Oryctolagus cuniculus: one gene and its partners. The protein of the gene in region 1 purifies or fractionates together with the protein of each later gene. This does not show direct contact. Links are inferred from orthologs where the notes say so. Each region holds a gene or a part of one and is shown in the gene's direction. Other genes may lie near its edges. The genes, in order: GSK3B, PRKAR1A, AKAP11, PRUNE1, GSKIP, YAP1 and AXIN2.

Evidence for each region.
Region 2: the proteins of GSK3B (region 1) and PRKAR1A purify together in Homo sapiens (affinity purification with mass spectrometry; 3 studies listed by BioGRID and IntAct, with this or other methods). This does not show direct contact. The link is inferred for Oryctolagus cuniculus from reciprocal best matches to the Homo sapiens genes GSK3B and PRKAR1A.
Region 3: the proteins of GSK3B (region 1) and AKAP11 purify together in Homo sapiens (affinity purification with mass spectrometry; 4 studies listed by BioGRID and IntAct, with this or other methods). This does not show direct contact. The link is inferred for Oryctolagus cuniculus from reciprocal best matches to the Homo sapiens genes GSK3B and AKAP11.
Region 4: the proteins of GSK3B (region 1) and PRUNE1 purify together in Homo sapiens (affinity purification with mass spectrometry; 5 studies listed by BioGRID and IntAct, with this or other methods). This does not show direct contact. The link is inferred for Oryctolagus cuniculus from reciprocal best matches to the Homo sapiens genes GSK3B and PRUNE1.
Region 5: the proteins of GSK3B (region 1) and GSKIP purify together in Homo sapiens (affinity purification with mass spectrometry; 10 studies listed by BioGRID and IntAct, with this or other methods). This does not show direct contact. The link is inferred for Oryctolagus cuniculus from reciprocal best matches to the Homo sapiens genes GSK3B and GSKIP.
Region 6: the proteins of GSK3B (region 1) and YAP1 purify together in Homo sapiens (affinity purification with western blotting; 3 studies listed by BioGRID and IntAct, with this or other methods). This does not show direct contact. The link is inferred for Oryctolagus cuniculus from reciprocal best matches to the Homo sapiens genes GSK3B and YAP1.
Region 7: the proteins of GSK3B (region 1) and AXIN2 purify together in Homo sapiens (affinity purification with mass spectrometry; 9 studies listed by BioGRID and IntAct, with this or other methods). This does not show direct contact. The link is inferred for Oryctolagus cuniculus from reciprocal best matches to the Homo sapiens genes GSK3B and AXIN2.

Annotation. Positions count from the first base shown.
Region 1 is NC_091435.1:76,547,815-76,552,265, reverse strand, and holds the start of GSK3B (glycogen synthase kinase-3 beta), read left to right. Parts: upstream 1-1,445; 5' UTR 1,446-1,496; coding exon 1,497-1,584; intron 1,585-4,451. Other genes in the region: transcription factor SOX-4, read right to left, coding at 101-1,084. UniProt on the Homo sapiens protein: Constitutively active protein kinase that acts as a negative regulator in the hormonal control of glucose homeostasis, Wnt signaling and regulation of transcription factors and microtubules, by phosphorylating and inactivating glycogen synthase (GYS1 or GYS2), EIF2B, CTNNB1/beta-catenin, APC, AXIN1, DPYSL2/CRMP2, JUN, NFATC1/NFATC, MAPT/TAU and MACF1.
Region 2 is NC_091448.1:11,145,917-11,149,809, reverse strand, and holds part of PRKAR1A (cAMP-dependent protein kinase type I-alpha regulatory subunit), read left to right. Parts: intron 1-652; coding exon 653-811; intron 812-2,990; coding exon 2,991-3,051; intron 3,052-3,893. UniProt on the Homo sapiens protein: Regulatory subunit of the cAMP-dependent protein kinases involved in cAMP signaling in cells.
Region 3 is NC_091440.1:61,455,281-61,459,173, forward strand, and holds part of AKAP11 (A-kinase anchor protein 11), read left to right. Parts: coding exon 1-227; intron 228-778; coding exon 779-3,893. UniProt on the Homo sapiens protein: Binds to type II regulatory subunits of protein kinase A and anchors/targets them.
Region 4 is NC_091438.1:47,077,100-47,080,992, reverse strand, and holds part of PRUNE1 (exopolyphosphatase PRUNE1), read left to right. Parts: intron 1-3,042; coding exon 3,043-3,135; exon of another isoform or gene 3,136-3,219; intron 3,220-3,650; coding exon 3,651-3,853; intron 3,854-3,893. UniProt on the Homo sapiens protein: Phosphodiesterase (PDE) that has higher activity toward cAMP than cGMP, as substrate. Plays a role in cell proliferation, migration and differentiation, and acts as a negative regulator of NME1. Plays a role in the regulation of neurogenesis.
Region 5 is NC_091451.1:40,752,641-40,757,004, forward strand, and holds the start of GSKIP (GSK3B-interacting protein), read left to right. Parts: upstream 1-1,327; 5' UTR 1,328-1,435; intron 1,436-2,586; exon of another isoform or gene 2,587-2,611; coding exon of another isoform or gene 2,612-2,688; intron 2,689-4,364. Other genes in the region: ATG2B (autophagy-related protein 2 homolog B), read right to left, coding at 716-877. UniProt on the Homo sapiens protein: A-kinase anchoring protein for GSK3B and PKA that regulates or facilitates their kinase activity towards their targets.
Region 6 is NC_091432.1:93,678,968-93,682,860, forward strand, and holds part of YAP1 (transcriptional coactivator YAP1), read left to right. Parts: intron 1-2,453; coding exon 2,454-2,584; intron 2,585-3,893. UniProt on the Homo sapiens protein: Transcriptional regulator with dual roles as a coactivator and corepressor. Critical downstream regulatory target in the Hippo signaling pathway, crucial for organ size control and tumor suppression by restricting proliferation and promoting apoptosis.
Region 7 is NC_091448.1:11,836,552-11,840,444, reverse strand, and holds part of AXIN2 (axin-2), read left to right. Parts: intron 1-1,122; coding exon 1,123-1,263; intron 1,264-1,382; coding exon 1,383-1,882; intron 1,883-2,111; coding exon 2,112-2,306; intron 2,307-2,619; coding exon 2,620-2,850; intron 2,851-3,401; coding exon 3,402-3,497; intron 3,498-3,893. UniProt on the Homo sapiens protein: Inhibitor of the Wnt signaling pathway. Down-regulates beta-catenin. Probably facilitate the phosphorylation of beta-catenin and APC by GSK3B.

The DNA of each region.
Region 1 (4,451 bases):
AGCCCTGCAGCTTCACCAGCGACTCTGGGTTTCACCGTCCTTAACTCTTTAATGCTTATTCGCGAGGGCGACGACTGTGATTGGCCCCTGTTGCCCTCGTCTAATTTGTCCTCCAGCCAGCCACAGAACAAGCCGAATCCACCTTCTTTCCGTTCGGATGCCTTCGGCATTTTCCGCTCTCTAGGCGAGGCTTCCCGGGGGCCCATTCTAATTGGCTCTTCAGGCCGATCGGCTTTTTCCGGGAGGAGCCGTAAAGAAACGACGCCCGTGATTGGCTTCGCTGGGGGTTCGGCTCCGCCGCCGAAGAGGGCGGGCGTTGGGCTCGGCCGGCGATTCCCAGACGCCTGTTACGCGGGCGGCGGGGCGCGGGGCGGTATAAGGCTGGGTGGGGGAGGAAGGAGGCGGAGGACGAGTAGGAGGCGGGGAGAGGGAGGGGGAGGGGGGAAGGCGCTAGGCGGCTGCGCAGACGGAGCTCCTCACACAGAGCAGCCCCCGACCCGGGCGAATGCGGGTTTGTGCTGCCGCTGCCGCTGCCGCCGCCGCCGCCCGGGCCGAGTGACAAAGGAAGGAAGGAAGCGAGGAGGAGCCGGCCCCGCAGCCGCTGACAGGGCTCCGGACTGGGGGCACAGCACGGACACTTCCTCAGCGGACACGGAGCTGAGGCGCGGGGCGTGAGGGCGGCCGCGCTGGTGCTTTGGACGGGGGAGGGGGCCCCGAGGGAGACGGAAGCGGTTGCCGGGTTCCCATGTCCCCGGCGTATGGGGAGCAGTCGAGGAGCCGCTGCCTGGGGTCTGAAGGGAGCTGCCTCCGCCACCGCCGCCGCCATGGCCGCTGGATCCAGCCGCCGCCTGCAGCTGCTCCTGGCGCAATGAGGAGAGGAGCCGCCGCCGCCGCCCGCCTCTGACTGACTCGCGACGCCGCCGCCCTCCAGGACGCCGGGCCCCCGCCGGATCCCGCCGCTGCCGGAGCCGCAGCGTTTCCCGTCGCATCTCCGAGCCGCCCCCTCCCTCTCCCTCCCTCCTTCCCATCCCCCCTTCTCTTCAAGCGTGAGACTCGTGATCCTTCCGCCGCTTCCCTTCTTCATTGACTCGGAAAAAAATCCCCGAGGAAAATATAAAATCCAAAGTACTTATTTTCAATCAAGTATTTGTCCCCATTTCACGTGATTTTTTTTAAGGAGTCCCCCCTCCCAGGAAAGGGAGGGGAAAGAATTGTGTTTTTTTTTTCCCCTCCCCCAGCCCCAAATCATCTATATGTTAAATATCCGTACGGATCCGTCTTGAAGGAGAATACATCGCTCGTGTTTTTTTTTTTTTTTTTTTTTTTTTTAATATAGCTATACAAAAGAAGTGAAAAGCCAAGAGGACGAAGTCTTTTTTTTTCCTTTCTTGTGGGAGAACTTAATGCTGCATTTATCATTAACCTAACACCCCAATATAAAACAAAAGGAAGAAAAGGAGGAAGGAAGGAAAAGGTGATTCGGGAAGAGAGTGATCATGTCAGGGCGGCCCAGAACCACCTCCTTTGCGGAGAGCTGCAAGCCAGTGCAGCAGCCTTCAGCTTTTGGCAGCATGAAAGTTAGCAGTGAGTATTGATTTTATTTTACACCCCTTCTCCGTCTCACCCCTAAAATAAGCAACCTCGAAGTCCTAGAACCTTAACATACTAGACCTGATGGAACACTCACCAGAGCTAATGGAAAAGAGCAAGACCTGTCTTCAGTCGAGGATGAGGCAGCTCCCTCTTTTCTCCTCCCATAACCCCCTCCCTCGGTCTCATTAACCTTGAGTTCAGAGAGTACGATTTTTATTTCGATGATTCGATTTGAAACGTTTCTTGTGCTTTCCTTGCTACTGATGGTCGCCTTTATCCAGTGCTTGGGTGTTTCCACTTGGAAATTGTGATGGAAGCGTTTGCTTGCCGACCCTTTTGAATAAAGAGGACTAAACGACTCATAAACCATTATGTGCATTTGCAGAGTGTTTGTCTTTTGGAACGAGGGAGGAAATTCTGGTTAGCTCAAGTCTCGGGTTATCACAGCTTTGTGTACTTCATGGAGACATGAAATGTCCCAGTCTCCTAACGTTTCTCTTCGTGCTGGTGTAACTATACAAAGTATTTGTTCTTAACCTGGGGATGAACTTGCTCAGTAACCAGCATTCATGTGTGGAGGTGATCATCGCTCCCTCCCTTTACAAGGGGCTGATGGGAACAGATAAATATCCAGCAGCAGTAGCATCTCCAAATACATTGTCTTGAATTGGATAAGTGGTTTAATCTGTTATCTCTTAACCTTCCTGTTTTGGCATTACCAATCTGCCACCATATAATTTGTTTAATCAAAAGGTAACTTGGAAGGAGGTCCAAGTTTTGATTGAGGCGTATGTTGTCATAATGCCAGATACTAAGTTAAATGTTAATTGTCACTGACTCATTGTCATTTAAGTTCAATTTTGACGTGCTGTTGCATTTGTTACTTGTTAAAATATTCTAGAGTACAGAGGATTCCTTTTTAGGAATACTTAAAATATCCTTGCATCAGTTTTCTTGTAGATAAGATTGAATTTAGTTAGAGGAACATAGATTTAGTCCTTTCCATCATAGTTTTTGCAGAAGGTTGTCCTTCTGGAAATGGTAGGGCTGTCTGGGATGTGGTCTCAGGGTTGTTACCAGACTGTACTTTCACAAAGTCTGTTTTCTTGAGGTGTTTGTTATACTAAGTATCCAGTGATCCCACAGAGCTCTGTTTGTGAAGGGGTTTGTGTGGCAATTAATGGCAGGTTATTTAAATATACTTCCAGATTTTGACAAAAAAAAATGTTTATATTGTTTCCTTATTCTCTGAGAAAGGGGCATGAAGAGGGCAAACTATTTTGTTGCCTAGAGGAGCTAAGAGAACTGAAGAGCCTTAAACAGTAGATTCTGTTATGTGGACTTGATTACATCCTTAAGCAATATAAAATGTTTACTTTTAATTGAACTCAAGATTCCAATCACTTTGGCTTTTGGAACTTGCCTGAAACAGGATAGTCCAAGGTAATAGCTGAATGGGAGATTATTTTTGAGTTAATTTTTTTTTCAGTGACTAGCTAGTAGAGAATGCAGAGTATGTAAAGAGGGAAGCTGATTATGCATCTTTTTAGAGAAGGGTCATGCTTTCTAAGCCCTTCATGGGGTCATTTGAAAGAAGTTTTTTATTCTGGGGGTAATTTTTAGCTATGATGAAGCAAATATTACAATAGCTAATTAAGAGCCTCTTGTGATACTGCAGTGATTGTATGTTTTACATCTTGGTAATAATTAAAAAACACTGAAAGTCAGTTTTAGGAATATAATTATTAGATGTATTTCAGAGATCTATAATGCTAGTGTATAATGCTAAATTCTGGGATTTTATATTTTGTTTCTAGGATTTTCTTTGAAGATGACTCCTTAATTCTTGATGGCATACATGTTGACCAAGAATGGTGTGATTTTTGTAAAGTATGTAGGTTAAAATGTTTGATTTTCTGTTATCATGTCCTTCAACTTAATATTTAAAAAGTTGGAATTTATTGCTGAATATGCATTTTTGATAAGCCTAGCTTTAGGGATATTTAGAAGAAAGGGGAGTCATTAGGCATTTGTTAGGTGCTGGTGTTTTCAGGACCCATGTTCAAAAGAGATACATATGAAATTATAGTCCTTGGCTTCAAAAAAAGCTGGTCACTTAGTAGTAGAGGCAATTTATGGGAAAAACAATGAAAACAATGGCATTACGACTGCAAGGCAAAATACAAATTGAATCCTTTGTTCAGAGGGACAAAGAATAAAGGGGTGAGACATGCATTGGAGGGAGAAGGCTTCCTGTAGAGAAGGTGTGCTTTTAAGACAGGTGTTAAAGAAGGCTGTGTCTTGAATTGGTGGAGAAGCATGAAAGATTCTAGGTGAAAGGACTCCAGGCACAGAGATGGTGAGTTTTGTAGGAGAGGCAATAAATAAGCTGGTAAATCTGAATTATAAAAGCCTAAGTAGGAAAATAACAGGTAAAATTTGAGAAATATTGGAAGGATAGCTGACAGAGGGCAAGGGGTCTGAAAAAGTTTGACATTCATGAGAGCTCTGAACAGTTTTTTTTTTTTATAAACTTTATTTATTTTAATTTTATTGGAAAGGCAGAGAGACAGATCTTCTCATCTGCTGCTTCACTCCACAAATGGTCACAACAGCCAGGGCTGGACCAGGCCTAAGGCAGGAGCTGGAACTCAGTCTGAGTCTTCCACTTGGGTGGTAGAAACCCAAGTCCTTAAGCTTTCATCTGCTGCCTCCTTGGATGTGCATTAGCAGGAAGCAGAGGAGCTGGGACTAGAACTGGCCCTGCCATGTGGGATGTGAGTTGTACCAAACACCCACCCCTGAACAAGGTATTTGAAGATGATTTGGGCAGCTAAGTTGAATTAGAGTAGAACTAT
Region 2 (3,893 bases), on another chromosome or scaffold:
AATGTGTAACACAGTGCACAGTACAGTACTCTGTAGTGTTGATGTTATAATGCTTGGGTAGCCTTTTTTTTTTAAAGATTTTATTTATTTATTTGAAAGAGTTAGAGGAGAGGCAGAGAGAGAGAGAGAGAGGTCTTCCATCCTCTGGTTCACTCCTCAATTGGCTGCACTGGCCAGAGCTGTGCCCATCCAAAACCAGGAGCCAGGAGCTTCTTCTGGGTATCCCACATGGGTGCAGGGGCCCAAGGACTTGGGCCGTCTTCTGCTGCTTTCCCGGGCCGTAGCAGAGAGCTGGATTGGAAGTGGAGCAGCCGGGACTCAAACGGGTGCCCATATGGGATGCCAGCACTGCAGGTAGCAGCTTTATCCATTACTGCTGGCTCCTGGGTAGCTTTTTTTCTCCCATCTCTACAGAGTACCTTTTTCTTATAATTAAACCAGGTAAACTGTAGGCACTCCTAATTCACTTAACTGTCAGAACTCAGCCGTCAGCTGTTTTAACCTGCTGTGTACCAAGAACATAATATGTTGTGTTTTTTAAAAATGAAGTTTAGGATTCTGACCTTTTAAAAAGGTTTGAGGATTTTTAATACTTAGATATTTTTGTATATAGGGAAAAAGCATTTTGTTTATATCAATCATTTGCTTTTAGGTCTATGTCAACAACGAATGGGCAACCAGTGTTGGGGAAGGAGGGAGCTTTGGAGAACTTGCTTTGATTTATGGAACACCTCGAGCAGCCACTGTCAAAGCAAAGACCAATGTGAAATTGTGGGGTATTGATCGAGACAGCTATAGAAGAATCCTTATGGTAAGAGACCATGGTTGGTTTTTTTTTTTAAACATTCTGGTCTCTGTGACTAATGTTTGAACAATATCACCAAATGAAAATGAGACCATTCCTTACTTTTAATGATGGAATATTTTACATTAGACTCAGTTTAGCATTATTCATTATGCCATTTGAGACAGTTATATTTTGGCCAGAAATAACATGAGAAACAAAATGTCTACATGTAAAGATTAATTTATGTTAGAAGCTGATAGGCACATCTTAACTGATTTTACCCAGGTAGCCTGATGGGTGCTGCTTTTCAGTCACGAAGTCACCTAAGGCCAGACTCCCTACACTGTGGGGGTGTTGGCACTCAAGGGCATGTTGTGGCTTTTACTGGAGGAATAGGCAAAATAATACAACAATGGGAATGTTAGACGCTGAGTTAGTCACATGTTTTGAGAACATTTTAAGTTTATACTGAGTAACTTCGGGTGTTTAAGACCCAGCTAGTGACATCCATAACTTTGAATGGTTTTCTGGAGTTTGTGCAGTGCCCATGTGGCCATTTAAAAGTACAGTTTGATGCACTTTGCAATTTTTTGTATTCAAGCCCCCTAGGATACTTCATCATCCCCTGGTGCCCATGGGGGATTGGTTCTAGGCGCTTCCCCTGCCCCCGCCACCTCAGATACCAAAATCTTCAGATATTCAAGTCTTACATGAAATGGTGTAGCGTTTGCATGTAATGTATACCCGTCCTGTTTCTTCAAGTCATCTCTGTTATTGGGCATAAGGTTACTTAATGTAGATGCTATGTAATAGTTACACTGTATTGTTCAGGGGATAATGACAATAAGAAAAAGTATGTTTCAGAAAAGGTTTTTAACGTTTCTTAATATATATGATCTGCTTGGATCTGCAGAGGGAAGGCCAGCTGTGTTTACATATGTGTTTATGTGTGTAGGTTTATATGTTTTGGTGGAGGGGGTGATGGGTGCTAAGGCAGTTTACCGAGTAAGGGAAGGTTGTTTTAGAAGACTGTATCTGTCCCCTTCTTCATTCCCCCCAGTCTCTGCCAATAAGAAAACTTGATTTAGTTTGGGACTATGGGGCATTCTGGGGGGAGGGGTTGTATAAGCAGTGGTACTTACTTTTCTTTTGTCTATGGAGAAGTAGGGTTGTAGGGCAGGATTCTAAGCTGGAAATCACTTATTGCTTGGTGGGTTTTTGGAGAACCGATCATTTGCTTATTCGATGTTTCACTAATTGGTAGTGCTCTGCAATTTCTTTTTTTTTCTTTTTTTTTTTTTTTTTTTTTGACAGGCAGAGTGGACAGTGAGAGAGAGAGACAGAGAGAAGGGTCTTCCTTTGCCGTTGGTTCACCCTCCAATGGCCGCTGCTGCAGCCGGCGCACCGCGCTGATCCGATGGCAGGAGCCAGGATCCAGGTGCTTTTCCTGGTCTCCCATGGGGTGCAGGGCCCAAGCACCTGGGCCATCCTCCACTGCACTCCCTGGCCATAGCAGAGAGCTGGCCTGGAAGAGGGGCAACCGGGACAGAATCCGGCACCCCGACCGGGACTAGAACCCGGTGTGCCGGTGCCGCAAGGTGGAGGATTAGCCTATTGAGCCGCGGCGCCGGCCTGCTCTGCAATTTCTTTAATCATGTACCTGGTTTTTTTTTTTTTTTTTTTTAAGATTTAATTTTTTGAGAAGCAGAGATAAAAGGGGAGGGAGGGAGGGAGGGAGGAAGAGAGAGAATGAGAGAGAATGAGAATGTACTTCACTCCCTGATTCACTCCCCAATGGCTGCACCGCCAAAGCTGGGCCAGGCTGAAGCCAGGAGCTTCCTCCGGGTCACCCGTGTAGATGCAGGGGCCCAAGTACTTGGACCATCTTCCGATGCTTTCCCAGGCACATTAGACAGGAGCAGCCGGGACTCAAACTGGCGCCCATATGGGATGCCAACACTGCAGGTGGAGGCTTAACCCTCTGTGCCACAGTGCTGGCCGCAGCTGGTTTCATTTGAAGAGCAAAGCTTTTACAGAGTGTGGGCCTGTCTTCAGCTTGAAGTAGAATGAAGGTAAATAAACAACATCAACAAGCTTTGGCTTTTCTACTTTTTAAGTTGATTTGAAAGTTAATATTTGTCACTTCATTATCTGATATTACACCTTTTGGGGATGTGAGTTCTGTTATCTTTTTCATTTACAGGGAAGCACACTGAGAAAGCGGAAGATGTATGAAGAGTTCCTTAGCAAAGTGTCCATTTTAGGTGAGTTCTGGTGAAGAATTTTTAAATCCATGATAGTGATATTCAGGAGAACCTGTTTTATAAAAATTCTAGTTATTTGTTTTTGTTTATTCATAGTAATGAAAAACACCTGGAATTTTTGACAGCATTGAAAGTTTGACTAAATTAAAGGAATTTAAAAAGTTGTCTTTGGTAGTGTGTGACAAACGCTCCACTAGAAATGACTGGTCGTGGGAGGAGCTTCCCGAAGGCGTAGGTGCTTCTCAGTCTTGCCGAGGAGAGAGGGAGGCTGAGCAGATGTCCCATCACGAGGTCATGGTTCTGCAAAGTGTTTGCGAGCGTCCTTTGAAAAAATGACAGACTTTTGTTGAAATTTCGAGTGAAAAGCAGATTAATCGGAGATATTTCTGTAAGTTTGTGATGTGGACTCGGGGTGTTGTTGAGCCTGTTCTTGAGAAGGCGACATGGTGATTTTCATAAGGTAACAGTCTTCTGCCACTGTTTTGTTATAATGAGTTGTTTGGTTTTTTCCCCTCCTTTGCCTTTTCTTTGAAATAGTTACATTTGCTTAGAGTCTAAGGTGTGAATTTGGCCTTTGGTAACAAGTTATTTTCAAGCTCCTTGTAGTTGCACAGTAAATTCAGCTGAGAATTTAAATAGGTAAGGCATTTCTGCAGTCTGTGGAATAATATGGATATGTCATGGTAGGTTTGACTTGCAGTGATGGCCATATTCAGGAATACTTTTTCATCCCATTTTCTTAGTCCTTTGCAACTGGGTACAGTTGTTAAACCTGGCCACAGGGCTGCTGAAGTAGAAATATAAGGGCCATCTGCAGGTAACCCGAGAACCTGCTGAGAGCA
Region 3 (3,893 bases), on another chromosome or scaffold:
GTCACCTACATTACCAAGACTCAGAATTGATTTTATCTTTAGTCTCCTAAGTAAATATACTACTGGCATAAGATACACCCTGGACACATACTTGAATCAGAATCACCAACCTGAGACAACTGATGAAGATGATGATACTAACCAGTCCGTGTCTTCCATAGAGGATGACTTTGTCACAGCTTTTGAGCACTTAGAGGAAGAAGAGACTTCAAAACTGTATACTGATGGTTTGTTCTTTTGCTAGACTTTTTCTTAAACTAGGGATTTAAAGTTTAGACTGCAGTTTTGAAAGTTTTAAGGCAGACTTGTTCAGCTGAAATTTGGTCCAGTTAAATGTTTTAGCTCCTTTTTTCTGATTGAAGACTTAATTTTCTTATGATTTTTAAGTTCATTGTTAACTGGATTTCAGTTTTGCTATTTCTGTTTTTAGGATTTACTGTTCAAGCACTGTTTACCTTTTTATCGTCAGTGTCTGGAACATGCTTAGGTTCAGATTTCAGAAGAGTTAGCTGGCAGACCTACCCTAGTATGTTTCTAACATGTGTGACAGTATGCCAACCATTCTGTAGACCAAATACCACAGACAGGGTAAAATGATGTTATAGTCAAGGGTGTATTTTGCTTTCAAGTATTACTTGGGATGAATCTTTTTGTTAACATAGTTTAGAAGACACATTTGGAGTAAATATTTCATACTTTATTCTACTGATTTAAATTTCTAAAAAAAATTTAAACTTTCTCTGCAAGGAATAATATAGAAATATTTCTTTTCATTTAGGAATAAATGTTATTGCATTAAGGAGCCAGTGTGATGCTGCTTCTCAGACTATTTCTGGTCACCATTTAGAAAACCACGATTTAAGGATTCTGGTTAGTTCTGGACAACAGAAGTCATTGACTAAACCTTCAACCTCCTTAATAAATGTTCTGGAACATAAAGAACTACCTTCTGTGAAAACTTCAGTCACAACACCAATTTCAGAGCCTTGGATCCAAAGGAGTTTCTACAGATCTTCTAAAGCTGCTGAGAAAGGCAGTGACATACAGAAAACCTTTTTGTCTTCTTCACCTGCTTACTCCTCTGAATCAGAATGCTCAAGCCCAAGTCCTGTGATTTTCTTGGATGAAGAAGGATATCAAAAAAGTTTAAAGGCTAAACTTGAGCTGCCTAAAATTCCTGTGATGAAAGATGATATTGAAGATTCAGACTCAGAAGTAAGTGAATTTTTTGATAGTTTTGATCAGTTTGATGAACTAGAGCAAGCCTCAGAGACTTCTTGTCTGTTTATAAAAGATCCTGCTATAGGAAAGTCATCACAAAAGAAAGCGCACAAACTTGAAAAGTCTTGTATGAATCCTCAAAAGTTCGATCGTCCGGCCCTGCCGGCTAATGTTCGAAAGCCTACTCCTCGGAAGCCAGAATCTCCATATGGCAATCCGTGTGATGCTCCAGATTCTCCTCGCCCAGTGAAGGCCTCAGGAGAAGACAGTGGTTTGTTCAGTCCTATTCGTTCCTCTGCTTTTAGTCCCCTTGGAGGCTGTACCCCTGCTGAATGTTTCTGCCAAACAGATGGTGGAGGAGATAGGCTTCATGAGAATCATGATTCCATTTATTACGCCTATGAAGATTATGCAGATAGTGTTTCATGTGGAGTGCTGGACTCGGTTCTTCATACCCATCACGGTCATTCACTATCAAACATCAATGTTATTAAAAGGGGAGAAAGTAAAACTGTAGCTCTTAAGCATGGAAACCTTGACCAGCAAAGTAAATCTAAAAACAAATCATTAATGATTAAAGATAGTATTCAGAAATTTGCAGCAGACCTTGTGGAAAAAAGTTTGGGCAGTGCATTTAAAGATTTGCAGAAAGGACTCTCTTCGTGTACCAATGCCTTGTGCCACTTAGCCATCAAATTGACGTCATCCGTTTTTCAGATGGCATTTAATGAACTGAGAAGACAACGTGCATTTTCACTGAAAGAACGTGCCATTAGTAGCCTGGCTAATTTTTTGGTGAGTGAAGCTTTAGCCAATGCCTTAAAAGATTTACAGTATGTAAAGAAGCAGATATTCACAAACACAGTTGCTAGGTTTGCTGCAGATCTTGCTGAAGAGCTTGTTTTTGAAGGCATCATGGAAGTGTGTCAGTTTTCGTATCCGCCAACACCTGCATCTCCACAATGTAAGTCATTTGACTTTGAAAACAAAGTAGTGAAGTCGTATGCAAGAGATTTGTCTGAATCTGTAATACAGGAAGCCTTCATTGAACTATCACAAGTTGATATGACCTTCGCAACCAAGGCAGCAGTTAGTGTTTCTGTGGATAATGTCAAGTATGTGAGTGCAGAAAGCGTAGTGCCATTGACACAGACCTTCACAGTTTCTCCTTTCAACAACCAAGCAACTCTGGTGACGAAACCAACACAGGACTATAAGAAGGAATACACAGTGCAGCAGGCCTTGTTTTGTACTTCTGGAATTGTTACTTCTATACCAGTGCCCTTGGCAGGAAGTGCCCTTCTCCCATATCATATTTCATCTGTATGTCAGGCGAAGTCTCCTCTGTCCTCTGATGGTAGTAATTCAAATGGTGATTCTACCTCAGCAAATGTTGCCACAAAAAGCAAAGGAGAAGAAGTAGCTTGTCTAAGAAATATTTGTTTGCCTTCAGAACACAATCCTCCTAACCAGAATGATTTTAAAACAGCTAATGATGATGTTGAAATGCAGAGTTCTTCAAAATTAACAAGTGATCCTGTGATTATTAGCAACTTTTCTTCAGCAATGGCACATACATTAGTAAATGAAACCTTAGAGTCAGTAGCATCATTTGAAGTTACAGAACCAGTTGGTGAATACACAGGTGGTTTAAATAAAGCAGTAGAGGGAAGAGCTTCTCCTTTGTCCCATTGTGAACCAGCAACGTCGCAACAGAGTGAAATCAGCAGTAGGGACATGTTTGCTGACTGTTTATCTAAATCTATTATTAAACATTCCATAGATGAAAGCAAATCAGTGACCCCAAATAGAGATAAAACCGTATGTAAGGAAGGCATACCAATTCCTGGAGAAAAATTACAGTTGACTTTCCAGAAGTTCCCCAAATTTCTTGATGTTCAAGATCACTTGACTGACTGTTCACTTTCAGTTGGAAAGGAATGTGTTCTAGAACATAAAGGTTCTATGGCTCATGGATTTCCTTTGGAGACACTGCCAACTTATCCAACCATGGCAGGTCAGAAACTTGATTTGACAGAACTTGCTAAGGATAAAACAGTGAAAAAGCATAATGTGAAGAATACAGCACTTGAGCCCTTGACTTTTGGACAGGAAAATTCCTTTCCTCATTCACATGCTTTCTCGTCTTCAGTGCTTACCTGTGTAGATGGCTTTCATGTGGAAGACAAGCCAAAAATCAGAGACAGAAATGTAATACCTGACACTCCTCCATCGACTCCTCTGCTACCATCCCAGGCCAGTTCTGAGTGGGATATTAAGAAGTTAACCAAAAAGCTGAAGGGTGAATTAGCCAAAGAATTTGCACCTGCTACACCACCTTCCACCCCTCACAACTCATCTGTTGGTAGTTTGTCTGAAAATGAACAAAATACCATAGAGAAAGAAGAGTTCATGTTGAAACTCATGCGGTCTCTTTCAGAAGAAGTTGAAGGCAGTGAAGATGAAGAGCACCCACAATTGGATGTGAAGTCAGAGCACTTGGGGAAGAAAGTTCAATTTGCCGACGGATTAGCTACACACATCATTTCTGTGGCAACTGAAATGGCAGCTTCCCACTTAGATAATAAAATAACTCAAGAACCCAAGGGTAAATGTGCTTACTTGGATGTGCAGAGTCAAAGAAATGCATCGCCTACTTTTTTAAATTGCTC
Region 4 (3,893 bases), on another chromosome or scaffold:
CTCCTTCTCCTCCTTCTCCTTCTGCTCCTTCTTCTCCTTTCTTCTTTTTTTTTTCCTTTCTGTGGGGATGTTTTTGATCGTCATGACTGAGGGTGCTGTCAGCATCTGGTGGGTAGAGACCAGGGATACTTCCAAATATCCTATAATGCACACGACAGCCCCTCCCCAACAGAATTATCTAGTCAAAATGCCAGTGATGCTAAAGTTGAGGAGCCCTGCTATGTGAGTCGTTTTGTTTCTCAGCCTATCCTCTCTCAGAAGCAGGCAGAGATAGAAGTTCAGAAGTAAACTAATAAGAAGGAATTGTCTTCTGAGCTGAACTGTAGGCTTTATGGTCTTACTCCACCAGCAAAATGCTCACACGGAGAATGAAATAATTCGTTCACCCTGCCTTGGGGTGGTATTTGCCCTAACTGTTAAGATGCCACATGGGACGCCTCAATCCCATATTGGGGAGCCTGTGTTTGAGTTCCAGCTCTGTGCCCAATTCCGGTTTCCTGCTAATACACATCTTGGTAGACAGCAGGTGATACATCAAGTAGTTGGGTCCTTGACATCCAAGTGGGAGACCTGGACTGAGTTCTCAGGTCCTAGCTTTGGCCTGGCCCAGCCCGGGTTGTAGTGGGCATTTGGGGAATGAACCAGCATATAGGAGACCACTTTCTGTTTGTCTGTCTCTGTCTCTGCCTTTCAGATAACTAAAACTAAATAAATTTTTTAAAGTATCTGCCTCATTGAGTTGTTTTAAGGATTAAATGATTAGTTAATGCATGTAAAAATATTGTAATAATACCTGGCACAATCAATAAATGTTTATATATACATATATTTTTAAAGATTTATTTGAAAGATAGAGTTATGGAGACAGAGAGGGAGAAACAAAGAGAGAGGTCTTTCATCTGCTGGTTCACTTCCCAGATGGCTGCAATGACTGGGGCTAGGCCAGGCCAAAGCCAGGAGCCAGGAGCCAGAACCTTCATCTGGGTCTCCCACAAGAAGGACTTGGTCCATCTTCTGCTGCTTTCTGAGGTACATTAGCAGGGAGCTGGATAGGAAGTAGAGTACCCGGGACTCGAACCGGCGCCCATATGGGATGCAGGTGCTACAGACGATGGCTTAACCTATTAGGCCATAATGCCGGCCCCATCAATAAACATTTAAAACAAAAAGCAAAATCCTATTTCTGGGATCAGTCCAGCCCAGTCCTTGCAGCCATTGGGGGAGTGAACCAGTGGATGGAAGACCTTTCCCTCTATCACTCTATAACTCTACCTTGCAAATAAATAAATCTTAAAAAAAAAAAAACAACTCTGCTCTTGTAGACACTGTGGTATTTTAAGACTTGATAGCTGGGGAGATCGTTGCAAGGGAACAAAGTTAATAATAGCAGATATCCCTCCCTCCTCGGAGTTCTTATCAGCAGCTGGGATTTTCAGAAAAAAAAGTTCCAGCAGTAGCATGTGTTCCTGCGTTAATCCGAACCTGCTGGGGAAAGCGTCTGTTCTCGGGCTGTGCGAGGTATTTGGTTATACGTAGTTATCATTAGGCCTGCTCAGGGCAGTGGGCGTTTTCTCAGACAACCAAAGGACTAGATCTATTTTTTAACCTCTTTGCCCATTTTTTGACTGATTTATTGAAATTTTTAAAAATTTATTTATTGGGGCTGGCGCTATGGCGCAGCAGGTTAAAGCCCTGGCCTGAAGTGCTGGCATCCCATATGGACACCAGTTCTAGTCCCGGCTGCTCCACTTCTGATCCAGCTCTCTGCTATGGCCTGGGAAGGCAGTGGAAGGTGGCCCAAGTCTTTGGGCCCCTGCACCCTGTGGGAGGCCCGGAGGAAGCTCCTGGCTCCTGGCTTTGGATCAGCACAGCTCCAGGCGTTGCAGCCATTTGGGGAGTAAACCAGCAGATGGAAGACCTCTCTGTCTCTACCTTTCTCTGTAACTCTGTCTTTCAAATAAATAAAATAAATCTTTTTTAAAAAATTATTTATTTGGAAAGGCAAGGTTACAGAGAGGCAGGTTGGGAGAGAGATCTCGCATCCGCTGGTTCACTCCCCAAATAGCTGCAGGCTGAAGCCAGGAGTCAGGAGCTTCCTCCAGATCTCCTATAAGAGTGCAGGGCCCCAAGCACTTGAGCCATCTTCTGCTGCTTTCCCAAGCTCATTAGGAGGGAGCTAGAGTAGAGGTGGAACAGCCAGGACTTGAGCTAGTGCTTATATGGGATGCTGGCATTGTTGGTGGCAGCTCAACCCATTGTGCCACAACACTGATCCATTTTTTTCTTTTTAAAAAAGATTTATTTATTTGAAAGACAGAGTTACAGAGAGGCAGAGAGAGAGAGAGAGAGGTCTTCCATTCGCTGGTTCACTCCCCAAATGGCTGCATCGGCTGGAACTAGGTAGATCTGAAGCCAGGAGCCTAGAGCTTCTTCTGAGTCTTCCACGTGGGTGTAGGGACCCAAGCACTTGGGCCATCTTCTACTGCTTTCCCAGGCCAGAGCAGAGAGCTGGATCAGAAGTGGAGCAGCCAGGACTCGAACTGGTGGTCACATGGGATGCCGTCACTGCAGGCAGTAGCTTTACCTGCTATGCCACATGGGCTGTCCCCTATTTTCATGACTTAGAGGTGTAAGAATTCTTTTTCCTGCTTTGTAAATGGGGATGGAAGGGACAAACAAGGACTGTTATGCCTAAGAGTGTTGCTGGAATATATCACCTATTCTAAATGGCCTACTTTTGACTATTTTGGTGTCCAAAGAAGCACAAGAAGTCAGAGGATTATTTACTGCTCTTCTGTAAGTCAAATTTAGTAGAGAGGAAAGAAGACTTTCCCAGTAACTGGGTGTGTATGGGATGTTACAGTGTGGCTGAAACACTTAGCCCTGCCTGCTAGGATGCTGAGGTCCTCTCAGAAGACGGTCTGAGCCCCCTGCTCCATGAAGCTCGGGGAGAGGATGGGAGTGAAGCCCTCCCTGAGGACGGGAGGATAGGGTGCGCGGGAATAGATAGGGACGCCGCTGCTTCCCATTCTTCTCTCCCAGGAGTCCCGACCTCTCCATGTGGTGCTGGGAAATGAAGCCTGTGACTTGGACTCCATGGTGTCTGCTCTCACCCTGGCTTTTTACCTGGCAAAGGTGAGTACTGGGCGCTGAGTCCCTTAGGACGAACAGATGTGCATTCAAGACCCAGCTCTGCCACTTAGCGGCACTTAGCCTTGGGTAAGCAAAACCCCTTAACTTTACTGAGTCTCATGTCACCGTCTATAAAATCTGAAATGAGAATATTTTACAGTGTTGCCATGAGGAACAAACAAGCAACTATATTTTGAGGGGTTTATAAACTATAAGGCAATATTTAAACAGTGTATTATTTATTGAGTTCCTTATGGGTATCAGTTATCTAGTGTGTATTCTTCTTGCCCAGGTTAGCTCTTCAGAACCACAAATCCTGTCTCTGTAGCACTGGGGTTTTTTCACTGCGATACCTTGTTGACTTTCTTGTCATTGCTAAGCTGGAGGGAGGGCAGGTCACCCTTTCGTTTTTATAGACTGGGTAATTGTGACTGAGAAAGGTGATGACTTAGCAGGGCCACATCTTTTGGTGTCAGTGGCCTTGTTTCCTTCTGTCATCTTTTGATTTTTCTACCCAGACGACTGAGGCCGAGGAAATCTTCGTGCCAGTTCTAAATATAAAACGTTCTGAGCTACCTCTGCGAGGCGACAACGTCTTCTTCCTCCAGAAGCTTCACATTCCAGAGACTCTCTTAATTTTTCGGGATGAGATTGACCTCCACGCGTTGCACCAGGCTAGCCAGCTCAGCCTTGTCCTTGTTGACCATCATGTCTTACCCAAGTAAGTAGAAGGAGATGAAAGTGATACTTACCACGTACCA
Region 5 (4,364 bases), on another chromosome or scaffold:
CGGGACCCTTCCCACCTGCAAGCCCTCCCCTCGCTGATACAGTCACATCTCAGCCCGGAGCAGGGAGGCTACAGCGCTCAGTTAGCAGGGGAGGAGCCGCTGCGGTCCGGTCCAACCAGCCGGTGAGCACGGTCAGACACCGTGCCCCGGACGCAGGGACGCAGGCCAGCGCTTGGGCGCGTGCAAACACACACCAAGCACCCGCAAGACACAATGAGTCAACTCGGCCTCCGACGACCAGTGGAGAACCGGCTTTAAAATGTCTGAAAAGTGCAGCCTCAGCGCTTTTGCAACACCTGCTCTTACGATCTGTCACGTGAAGCCAAAAGGCACGCACACTGTCCGTGTAAACATAGCCTGGTACAAAGGCGTGCAAGCCGGCGGACGAGGCCTCCCCCGCTGTCCCCCGGGCCGGACGCGGCGTGCCCGGGGGCCTCGGCATCCCACGGGTCCCCCTCGCCTTTCCGGAACGCTACGCCGCGACACGGGGTCTGCTGGCCGTGGGACCCCCGATCCGCGGCCCAGACCGCCCCCGCCGCCCGCCCTAACTCAAGCACTCCCCCAGCGCAGGCTCCCATCTGTCCGCTCGGTTTCTGGAACACGTGATGTCCAGCACTCAAAACACGTTTCTCCGGGGCCGGCCACACGCGGGTCCCCAAATCCCGGGGGGACGGCACCGAGGAGGGGCGCGGGGCCCGCCGCCCGCAGCTCTTACCCATTTGTCCAAGGGGACCTGGGCGAGGGACCCGGTGCCCTGGTACAGGTCCAGGCTGAGCTGCTCCAGGCTCAGCTTCTCCTGCAGGAAGTGGCCCAGGTACCTCTGCAGGAGGTACCGACAGGCCCTCTTCTTGATGGACTCGGAAAACGGCCACGGCATGGCGGCGGCTGAGGGCGGCGGCGGCGGGGCCCAGGCTCCGGCTCCGGCCGCGAAGGCGCTCCGGGGCCCGGCCGGCGTCCCCGGGCCGCGGCGGGGCCTAAGCCCGGCGCGGCCCCTTCATGCCCGCTCACCGCCGGGCGCCCTCAGGCCGACGGCATCGCCCGCGCCGGACACCGGTCGCAGGCCCGGCAAGGACCCGGCGCAGAGGCGGCCCCGGCGTCCGGGGCAGGGACTCCCGAGGGGATCCTCCTCGGCCCGGACACGGGAGCGCGCGACAGGAGGCGGCTGACACCTCCTCGGCAGCCGCGCGACGAATTTGTTGTCATCCACGAAGCGCGCTCCCGAGCCTGGGGACGCTCCCGGCGCGTTCGCGAGAGCCCAAGGCGCCTCACGCGCACGCGCGCGGCCGGGCGCAGGCGGAAGTGACGCCACACTGGGGGCCGAGGGAGGCGGGAAGAAGAGCCGGGGCCGGAGCAGTTCCGGCTCCGAGGGGGCGGTGCCGCGGGCCGGCTCCGGCGGCCTCCCGAGGGAGGAAGAGGAGAAGGCGGGCGAGCGCAGGTGAGCGGGCGGCGGCGGCGGCGGGGGACTCAGGGGAACGGGCGGGCCGTGGGGCCGCCCGGACGGGGGCTGCGGCGCGGCAGGCCCGAGCTGCGGGGCCGGCAGGCCGAGAGGGGTCGGGCGGGCCCGGGTCGTCGGGGGCCCCGGGCGCGGCGGCTCGGAGCGCCGCTGTCTGGCTGGGGAGGACCGGGGCGCCCCTCGGGCCTCCGCGCCCGCCCGCTGGGCGCCGAGGGTCCGCCCCCGCCTCCTCAGGTATTGTTCCCGGAGCCGGCCGGCGGCCGGCGGCGCGCCGAGCTCCTCCGGGGCGTGTGGCACCAGCGACCGGGAAACTCGGGAGTTGGAGCATCTGCGGCCAGAACTGCCGCCTCGGGTCGACGGCAGGGCCCGCTGACCGCCGGGGACCCGCGCTGGGGTCCCGGGTCGGCGTCGTGGCCCTGGTGCGCGCCTGCGACCGCTCGGCCCCGGGCTCGCCGAGCCTCCTTCGCAAGGGGGAGGGTATTAACGTGTCTTAGTCCGAGGATGATCGTTAGGAAGGTGAGCGGACGTGAAGCCCTGACACCCGTGCACCTGCCGTGGGGTAGTGAATTCGCGGGGCTGAGGACAGTGCTGACCGTCTCGGTAACTGTTTCGCGAAAGCCTTGGAAGCACTAACAGAGCCCCGAAGCGTTGGCGGATGGGGAGAGGTTGCGTTCCCGTCCACGCTGGCTTCTCCGCGTGGGGACCGTGCGGCCCCCGGGGTCCTCGGTGCCCCTCCCTGTTGTAGACTCAGCCCGAGTGTCCTCAGTAGCGACCCTTCCCTGGCGCCGCGTTCGTGGGGAAGCGCTTACCGGGGGTCCAGAGAGTGGAAGTCGGTGCAGTTCCGTGTGCGAAGATCAGAGCGTCCCGGGAGCTGCGGTTCTAAAGTGTGGATGGGGGGGGCGGGGGTTCACTCAGTAGGAAACGTTTACTGGCTGCGCGCCAAGTGCCGGGGACACCACGGTGGGACAGCGAAGTCTCTGCTCTCATGGAGCCCTTTGTTGAAGGGAGGGGAAATAGGTAACAGCGTGCCATGGGGCGGTGAGCGCTGTGGCAGGGAAAGACAGCGGGCGGGGCAGAGGCGAGAGGTTTGCCTGTCTTGCCTCGGACGGTGAGAGAAGGTGTTCTCCAACTAGGTGACATTTGGCAGAGACGTGGAGAATGCAAGGTGCACAGGTGTTTGGAGAGTTGGTCTCCCCACACGGGGGAGGAGCGAGCGTGATGGTTGAAGGGGAATCGTGAGTAAAATAGGAAGAAGAGACTGGGAGGAGGGACGGGAAGTCTTGCAGGGTTCTGGGCCTTTGGCTCTCACTCTGGCTGAATGGGAGGGTTGAGGAGAGGAGTGACATCCTCTGGCCTCAGTTTGCAGGATCCTGCTAACTGCGGTGTTGAGAATAGGCTGGCGTGGGGGTGGGCGGGTCCAAGGTGAACAGAGCGAGACCAGTTAGGACGGTGTTGCAGTAATGCAGGCGAAAGATGACGGTGGCTTGGACCAGAGTGGTAGCAGTGAAACCTGTTAGAAGCAGTTAGGTTCTGGATATTTGTTGAAGCAAATAGGCTCCCTAAAAGCAGAATAAAGAAAATGATATGAAAAGTCAAAGGTGGGGGCCTGCCTTGTGGTACAGCAGGCAGCCCATTGGGTGCTGCTGCTCCACTTCCAGTCCAGCTCCCTGCTAAGGCACCTGGGAAGGCAGCGGAGGACTGGGCCCCTGCACTCACATGGGAGACCTGGAAGAAGTGCCTGGCCTGGCCCCAGCTGTTGTGGCCATTTGAGGAGTGAACCAGTGGATGGAAAACCTCTCTCTCGCTCACTCACTCTCTCTCTCTCTGCCTTTCAGATAAATAAATAATAAAATGAAAATTGGGCTCTCATCTGAGAGGGCAGTAGAATAGGCCTTGAGAGCTTTGAACTGGGCTTCTGACCTAGCAATATGATTTGGACTTACTTCCGATGACTTAAATACATGGTTTCTTTAGCAATGTAGAATACATTCAGACTGTCAACGGATGCTTGCAATTTCACTTATCAGAAAGGAAAATTAAAATTGAAGGTTTTTTCCATTTAAAGTGTTAAATGCTTCCTTGTGCATTTTATGCTTTTCAGGAGAATTTCAACATAATTTTTTTTTAATTTTCTTTATTTATTTGAAGGGCAGTGTTAGGGAGATACAGAGAGAGATCTTTCACCAGCTGGTTGACTCCCCAAATGGCTGAAATGCTTAGGGCTGGGTCAGACAGAAGCCAGGAGGCTGGAACTCCATGTGGGTCTCCCACGTGGGTGGCAGGGGCCCAAGTGCTTGGGCCATCTTTGCTGCTCTCCCATGTACATTAGCAGGGAGCTGGTAAGAAGTGGAGCAGCTGGTACTCAAACCAGCACTCATATGGAATGCCAGTGTTGCAGACTGTGGCATAACTCTGTGCCACAACGCTAGCCCTAAGATAAATGTTAAGGTTTGGGACCAGTCATTATTATCCCTGTAGCCCAAACAGGACACAAACTCATCCCCAGACACAGTGCTATGTTTGTGTTTATGGAAGACAGAGTACCTAGCACAAAATATTAACACCTGACATTGATTGAGGTAGATGAGAATAATTAATTACCCAACCACATTTTGTCAGCTTTTTAAGAATTATATTGAAGAGTTTAAAGTGACAGAGTAGAAGCTATACATCAGAAGCTAAATAGGTCACTTCAGAACAATCATCCTTCACCATGTTAGGTGGAAAATAAGAGAAACGCCAAAAAGAGGTTTTGACCTCTTTTAAGATTTGCATCTGAAGTAGCAGGAATGTGACGTGGAGGCTGCCGGTCCCAGTGCTCTTGAGTCGCACAGGACAGCAGCAGCAGCCACCCTGCAAAATGTTAGGAGCGTTGACCTTGGAGTCAGCTGGCTTGAGTGTAATGGTCAGC
Region 6 (3,893 bases), on another chromosome or scaffold:
TTAGAAAAATCCATAGGTTACTTACTGTTGGCATGGGTCAAATATAGTTTGATGACAAGGTCTTTGTGTAATCTCTCAGGGCATTGAACATCTCCCTAGGCAATTAGGAATGATTTGCCATTATTATTATTATTATTATGGATTTATTAGTTTGAAAGGCAGATTTAGAAGAGACAGAGATCTTCCATCCACTGGTTCACTCCCCAAAAGGTTGCAATGACCAAGGATAAGCCAGGCCAAAGCAGGAGCCATGAGCTTCATCTGGGTCTGTCACATGAATGGCAGAGACCCAGATACTTGGGTCATCCTCCACTGCTTTCCCAGGCACATTAGCAGGGAGCTGGATTGGAAGTAGAGCTGCTGGGGCTTGAACCAGCACCCATATGGGATGCCAGCATCACAGGCAACAGCTTAACCCACTACACCATAACATGGCCCCCAGATTTGCCTTCTTGTTAACATCTCTAAATTACCTTTCTTTTGTAAGTCTGAATAGTTTGCTCTGCATTGTCTGTTGATAATAGAAATTCAGTTACTAAAGCAAAATAAAAATTTGACAGCTTTAAACAAGCATTCTGGCAAAATTCAAGGTAGCAAGAACATTGAAAGTCTAGTCTACACCAGATGATTTGTTTTAACCTCATAAAACGATCTTGGGAAAGTGGAGATTTTATGAAAAGGCATAGAATAAAAAATTGTGAAAACAATATGAAAATTTTAACTAAGTTATTTAAATATTTAAATATTTTAAGTTATTTAAGATTTATGGATTAGTGTCAAGTACTTTGTGCTGAAAAGAGTTCAAAGTTAGACAAACAGAAATGTGAACATATCTTCCTTAATAAAAATCAATGATGGCGGGACGGTTAGCTTAGTGGTTAAAATGCATGTTGGGATTCCCGCATACCCACATCTGAATACATGAGTAAAGTTCCTTGCTCTGTTCCTGATTGCAGCTTTCTGCTAACGCGGATCCTATGAGGCAGTGATGATGTCTCAAGTAACTGAGTTCCTGCCTCCCAGCATTGGCCCCCACCCAGTTTCAGCTCTTGCAGATGTTTGGGGAGTAAACTAGGAGATGAATCTGTCTCTCTCCTTCTCCCTCCCTCTCCTTCTCTCTTTCTCTTTGAAATTTAGGGGGCAAAACATATGAAGATCTTCAAGATATTCTCTAATATTCCCATATTTTGAAGGATGCACAGTTTTGTCACAGAAACTGTACACCATCCTCATCCAGAGATTATAATTTTATACATTCTAAAGTTTATTGCTAAATACATCCTTGTATTTTAAGAGAAATACAGATTACTCAAAGTATTAGAAGTCATTTTATGCTCTAAAACAGTTCATTCCTTCACTGTGCCCTTAGGGGTACAGCAGAAATAAATAATTACAAAATCGTGTGATAAATGCTGGGATTGTGTTACATGTGCTAAGGGTGTGAAAGGCATGACATCTTTATGTCTAATCCCATCTCAAGATGGAAATGGAGTTATCATGGGGAGTTACTTAAAGAAGGTGGTGTCTTCACTAGGTCTTAAATAATATGGAAGAAAGAAAAAGTATTCTAGGCCAGAATAGCATGTGAAAGAAAAAGGTATGGTATTCTGAGAAAGTGTCATCATACAGACCTTCAGGGAGTAAACTGTCAATTGTCACTTCTCACTTTGCAAGATGAGAATGGGAGAGTTCAAAGAGACATGATAGAGAGACAGAAAAAAGACAGTAGTGATGAAGGTGTTAGGGTTTGGTCCGAGTGAGATGAACTGACCTGTGGGTCCTGGGCAAGTATAGTAACTGAGGTCTGGGTTATCTCAAAACCTGCTGAGGCAAATCTTGTAGTGGCCCATAGCCTCTGCTCAGGTTCTAGGTGGAATCCTGCTGAAAAATTTGGAATGTCGCTGAAGAAATTTTACCCTATTTTAAATCCTATGATTATAGTGGAGGGACTTTGGGTTCATGTTTTTATGTTTGATGCCTTTTTTTTTTCCTTCTCCTCTCTCCCTGCTAGAGGATAAAACACTCTAACTGAAGATAGAAAAGCCTGAAGTCAAAATGAGACACTGGATATACCAAAGTGGAAAACAATGTTGGGGGTGAAGAGGGAATTAGTATCTTACAGTAAGACCAGACTTGCCCTTCTACCCCAAAGGAGAATTTGGTAGTATAGGCCATATTAAGGAAAATATCAAAATGAAGCTAAGTACCAAAGTGTATATGTTTTGGGGTTAATATAACTCAACAAACTTTCAAATTTAGGCAACTTAATTTTTAATCACTTCAATGGATAGAAGAACTTGATCACTCTGATTGGGAAGTATGTTATTTAAAATAGATACTACAACTTTGTGTACACAGTTACCCTATTAAACATTAATTCTTTAAACCTAACAAATTTTTAAAGGATATATTATGTTTATGTTGTTGTTTTTTGTGTATGTTTGTTTTTAAAGGAATTAGCTCTCCGTAGCCAGTTACCAACACTGGAGCAGGATGGTGGCACTCAAAATCCAGTATCTTCTCCTGGGATGTCTCAGGAATTGAGAACAATGACAACCAATAGCTCAGATCCCTTTCTTAACAGGTTGGTAAGAGATGCTACTGTCTAGTATCTGAAAAAGATTGTAAATTTAAGATCATGTTGCTTAGTGCTTATAATAGGCTGTTTTGAACATGTATGTGAGCTAAAAATTATAGCTGTAAATAAATTTCTCCAATAAAAGTTCAGGATTAAAAGCCATTTTCTACAGGAAAAAGTGAGCTGTTGAGACTTGTGAGGAGGATACTTACTCAGAGTCACAGCGTGTTTGCTTCTGCCTGTACTGTTGACTAACAGTTACTTAGAATTACAAAATCATGAAGGAACATGTGCATGCTTCTCTATGAAATCAAATGAACTGTATCATAAATCCACTTTTGCATTATAAAGATCATTAGAAGGGATTTTCCACATAGGTGTTCAACCCGAGAGCTTTTACAGAGCATCATTTTAAGGCCTCGTGTTCTCAAGAGCCATAGTTCAAGGAGATAATATGTAAGGTTGTACCTTTTTCAAAAAATGCATTAAAATGAATGGTAGTGTTTGAAAATGATATAGCTTAAGGATACTTCTTAGTTACCACAAATCTTGGATTTCAGGAAGATTGTAATGGTATTATAAACTGCTGTTGAAAACTGCAAGCTGGGCTGGCGCCAGGGCTCACCTGGCTAATCCTCCGCCTGCAGCACCGGCACCCCGGGTTCTAGTCCTGGTTGGGGCGCCGGATTCTGTCCAGGTCACGCCTCTTCTAGTCCAGCTCTCTGCTGTGGCCCTGGAGTGCAGTGGAGGATGGCCCAAGTGCTTGGGCCCTGCACCCGCATGGGAGACCAGGAGGAAGCACCTGGCTCCTGGCTTCAGATCGGCGCAGTGATGGCCATTTGGGGGGTGAACCAACGGAAGGAAGACTTTTCTCTCTGTCTCTCTCTCACTGTCTAACTCTGCCTGTCAAAAACAAAAACAAAACAAACAAACAAACAAAAAAAAAACCCTGCAAGCTGCGACAGGTCATATTCTTTGCCTAGAAAGCCATTTAAAATGAAGATGTGGGACAGGCATGTTGGCTCAGCAAGTTAAACTGCCACTTACAACACCTGTATCCTATACTAGAGTGCCAATTTTGAGTCCCAGCTACTCCACTTCAGATCAGCTTCCTGCTAATGAGCCTGGGAAGCTATAGACGATGGCTCAAATTCTTGAGTCTCTGCCACCCACATAGGAGACCTGGATGGAGTTCCTGGCTTTGGGTTTGATCTGGCCGAACCTTGTCTGTTGTGGCCATTTGGGAAGCAAGCCAGTAGATGGAAGATCTTTCTTTCTCTCCACCTCTCTTTCCCTCCCTTTCAAGTAAATAAAT
Region 7 (3,893 bases), on another chromosome or scaffold:
TGTGTGTGTGTGTTATACCAAGAAACGCTATTATTTTCCAAGCTTGTAAATTCGAGGATTTTGTCCTGGGGTGTGCAAATTGACTTTCTCCCCATCAGCGCGCAAAGCCAGCCTGTGTGAGAACCGGCCACCTCCTGCTGGGGGTGGGGAGGGGGCTCTCTCTGCCCCCTCGGGCTGGTTCTGCAGCTAAGCGGTTGCCCGGGCGAGGCCCCTCTTCTGCTGGGGCTGGCGTTCTCTCCACCCCCCGGCCCCCAGAAAAGGGCGAAGCGGGCGGGAGATGAGGAGGAAGGAGGCGAGCCGCCGGGAGGGGGGCGGGGCGGGAGATGACAGAGAGGCGGCGGCGGGGGTCCGCCCCGCGTGCTGCAGTTGGCAGGCGATGCGATCGCGGGGCCTCTTTATATTCCGCACTTGATTTGGAGATGTTCCCTGTTCCCTTGATGGCTCAACTTCAGGCGGCCGAGCGCAGCAGTGGTCTGCTACTAGCCTGCAGCAGCTCTCTTCATTTTCCGTACAAAGAGATGGGGAGGAGGGGAGGAGGGGAGGAGGAAGGCGAGGGAGGCCGAGGCCAGTGTGGAGACAACAGCACCTCAGAGGTGCGCAGTGTGCGGCCAGGAACGAATTACCGCTGCTTCTCTGATCCGGGCCTGCCGACACTCTCTCTTTTTTTTTTTTTTTTCCTATTCCCCCCGCCCCCACCTCCTTTGCAATCTTACTTTCTTTAATTTCCAACTCCCCTTCTGTTTAGACGCTACTTTCTATTCCTTGAGTTGCTCTCGCTCCCCTCCCCATCTCAGAGGGCTGCTTTTTTTTTTTTTTTTTTTTTTTTTTTTTGATGTCTGACAACAGTCTTTGAAGATTGTCTACTTCAGAGTAGCTACTGATGGGCTGGTTGTACTACAGAGGGAACAAGCAGGGCCTCTCGGAGTGCGACCAACTGCTCCTGCCCAAGGCAAACGCTGGTGGGGACCATGGCTCTCCATGAGGCCGCGGCGCCGCCGCATAAAAACCCCGACAGCCCCGGCCGCCGCGCCAGCCGCTCTCCGCCCCGGCACGGGCGCGCGGGTTCCGGCAGCTCCGGCCTGCTAAGCGCGCCCCGTCCCTGTGCCTCCCCGCGCCCCGCAGAGAACCCACCGCCTGCCCAAGGAGATGACGCCCGTGGAACCCGCCGCCTTCGCGGCCGAGCTCATCGCCAGGCTGGAGAAGCTGAAGCTGGAGCTGGAGAGCCGCCACAGCCTGGAGGAGCGGCTGCAGCAGATGCGCGAGGTAGGCCCGCGCGGTGGCCCTCCAGCGCTGTGCGTGCGTGCGTGCGTCCATCCCGTGCGTGCGTGCGTCCATCCCGTGCGTGCCTGCCCACACGGCCCCTCTGCGCCATCCCGTTCCAGGACGAGGAGAAGGAAGGCTCCGAGCCGCCGCTGAGCGCGCGGGAAGGCGCGCCCGCCCAGCACCCCTTGTCCCTGCTGCCCTCCGGCGGCTACGAGGAGGACCCGCAGACGATCCTGGACGACCACCTGTCCAGGGTCCTCAAGACCCCCGGCTGCCAGTCGCCCGGCGTGGGCCGCGCCAGCCCCCGCTCCCGCTCGCCTGACCACCACCATCACCACCACCAGCCCTACCACCCCCTCCTCCCGCCGGGGGGCAAGCTGCCCCCCGCGGCCGCCGCCCCGGCCTGCCCACTGCTCGGGGGCAAGGGCTTTGTGAGCAAGCAGACCACGAAGCACGTCCACCACCACTACATCCACCACCACGCCGGCCCCAAGACCAAGGAGGAGCTCGAGGCCGAGGCCACGCAGAGGGTGCGCTGTTTGTGCTCCGAGTATTACTGCTACTGCAAGTGCAAGAGCCACCCCAAGGCTCCGGAGCCCGTGCCAGGAGAGCAGTTTGGGTAAGTGCCAGGCGGTCTGCGGCAGCCCGCGTGGAGCTGTTCTCCCGGCCAGAGGCCTGGGCAGGGGTGAGGCGGGGTCCGCGGCCACAGGCGTTTAGCGCCGGGGGAGGGGGTGCAGGTGCATGGGTCTGTCGCGTTCCCGGCCCCTGCTCGTGCGGTTGTCCCATTGGAGGAATCAGGGGAAGTAATGAGGGTCTCTGGGTTGGGTGTGGGTCTTGGTTTCCTGCAGTGGAAGCAGAGGCAGTACCTTGCCCAAACGAAGTGGGAAAGGCACGGAGCCTGGCCTGGCCCTGCCCGCTAGGGAAGGAGGGGCCCCCGGCGGCGCTGGGGCCCTGCAGCTGCCTGGAGAAGAAGGAGACAGGTCGCAGGATGTGTGGCAGTGGATGCTGGAGAGTGAGCGACAGAGCAAGCCCAAGCCCCACAGGTAGACGCTGCCGCCCCCGGTCACGGACACGCACGCGCGGGGGTCTCGGGGATGGCTGTTTTCACAGTTGGCTGAAAACAAGTGCGACTGTTTGCTCCTGCCATCTTAATATTAAACGTTGGACTTGGGCAGACCGCAAAAATGTCATGTTTTGGCAGCCACTCCCGTTCGTGTTATGGTAGAGTTATTTTTTTCTTCTGCCTCTCTCTCTCTCTCTGAGCAGAATAGACAAGTTTCTATTGAAGTCACATTTTCCAGTTTTTCTAACCCAATTTCTTCCCTTCTACTTTCTCTCTCTGCATCGTTTGTTCAGTGCCCAGAGCACAAAAAAGGCCTCGCCCATGGAGTCTGCTCGCGGGTCCCCGGGCGAACGGGTCAGCCGGCACCATCTGTGGGGGAGCAGCGGGCACCCCCGCACCGCCCCCCGTGCCCACCCCTTTACCCAAGACCCTGCAGTGCCCCCCCTGACCCCACCCAACACGCTGGCACAGCTGGAGGAGGCCTGCCGCAGGCTGGCTGAGGTGTCGAAGCCCCCCAAGCAGCGGTGAGTGGGAGAGAGGGGGTCCGCGCGGGATTGGAGGGGAAGGGGGCACCCTTCTTTCCTGCCTGGGTCTCAGGCCCTCCTGGAAGCAGGCGTTGCTTCTGGCCGACTAAGATTCGCCCTGCAGCCTCTGGGCGTGGGTCCCACTGCTGTGCCTGACTTGAACCCGGATTCAGGAGCATACACTTGAATAATTCCTTACACACCCCATTCCTTATAAAACCTCTCGGTCCCTGGGGGCTGCTTAGCTGAGCGTGTGGGAAACTGGCTGGGGAGATGCAGGAGTCTTTAGCCCTTGGCGTGGGCTGAGGATGTCCTGTGCAGGGTGCCCAGGGGGCTTGCAGCAGCTGTCCCCAAGTGTCATCCAGGCCTCCTGTAGCCCCAACGAACACAAGGCCTTACTGGGTCTTCACAGGGATGGAGGTTGGGTCCGTTTCTCTTCCTGAGGCCAAAGAGAGTGTGTGTGTGTGTGTGTGTGTGTGTGTGTGTCCGTGTCCCCTGTAACCCTGGGGGTGGCCACACCTCTAAAGCCCTCCCCCTGGCTGTGTCCTCAGGTGCTGTGTGGCCAATCAGCAGAGGGACAGGAACCACTTGGCCGCTGGTCAGGCAGGAGCCACGCCCTTCTCCAACCCCAGCCTGGCCCCCGAAGAGTGAGTGTCTCCACTGCCCGGTACTGCTGAGATCCGCTGAGTGGTTTGCGTTTCCGGGTGTGCCCTGTCTGGAGCTGCGTCTGCATGAAACGTTGTGGTGTCTAAAATCCCATCAGTTTGGCTGCCAGTGGTGAGGGCCAGTAAGTGCAGGTGTTGGTCCTCGGTGAGGAGCATGGAAACCCACGGGTACTGAGCACGGCCTCGCCGCACAGACTTCCCTGGGCGCGCGCACACACACAGCAAATCAAAAACCGGAACTCGAAGGCGCGTCCGCAGACGAGGAAGAGGGACCCCAGGTCCAGTGGCGGAGTTGCCCCCACTTAGCTTGGAAGTCGGCGGTACTCCAGGCCCCACCTTTGCAGAAGCTGAGAGCTTGGGAGAAAACAGAATCCTTTT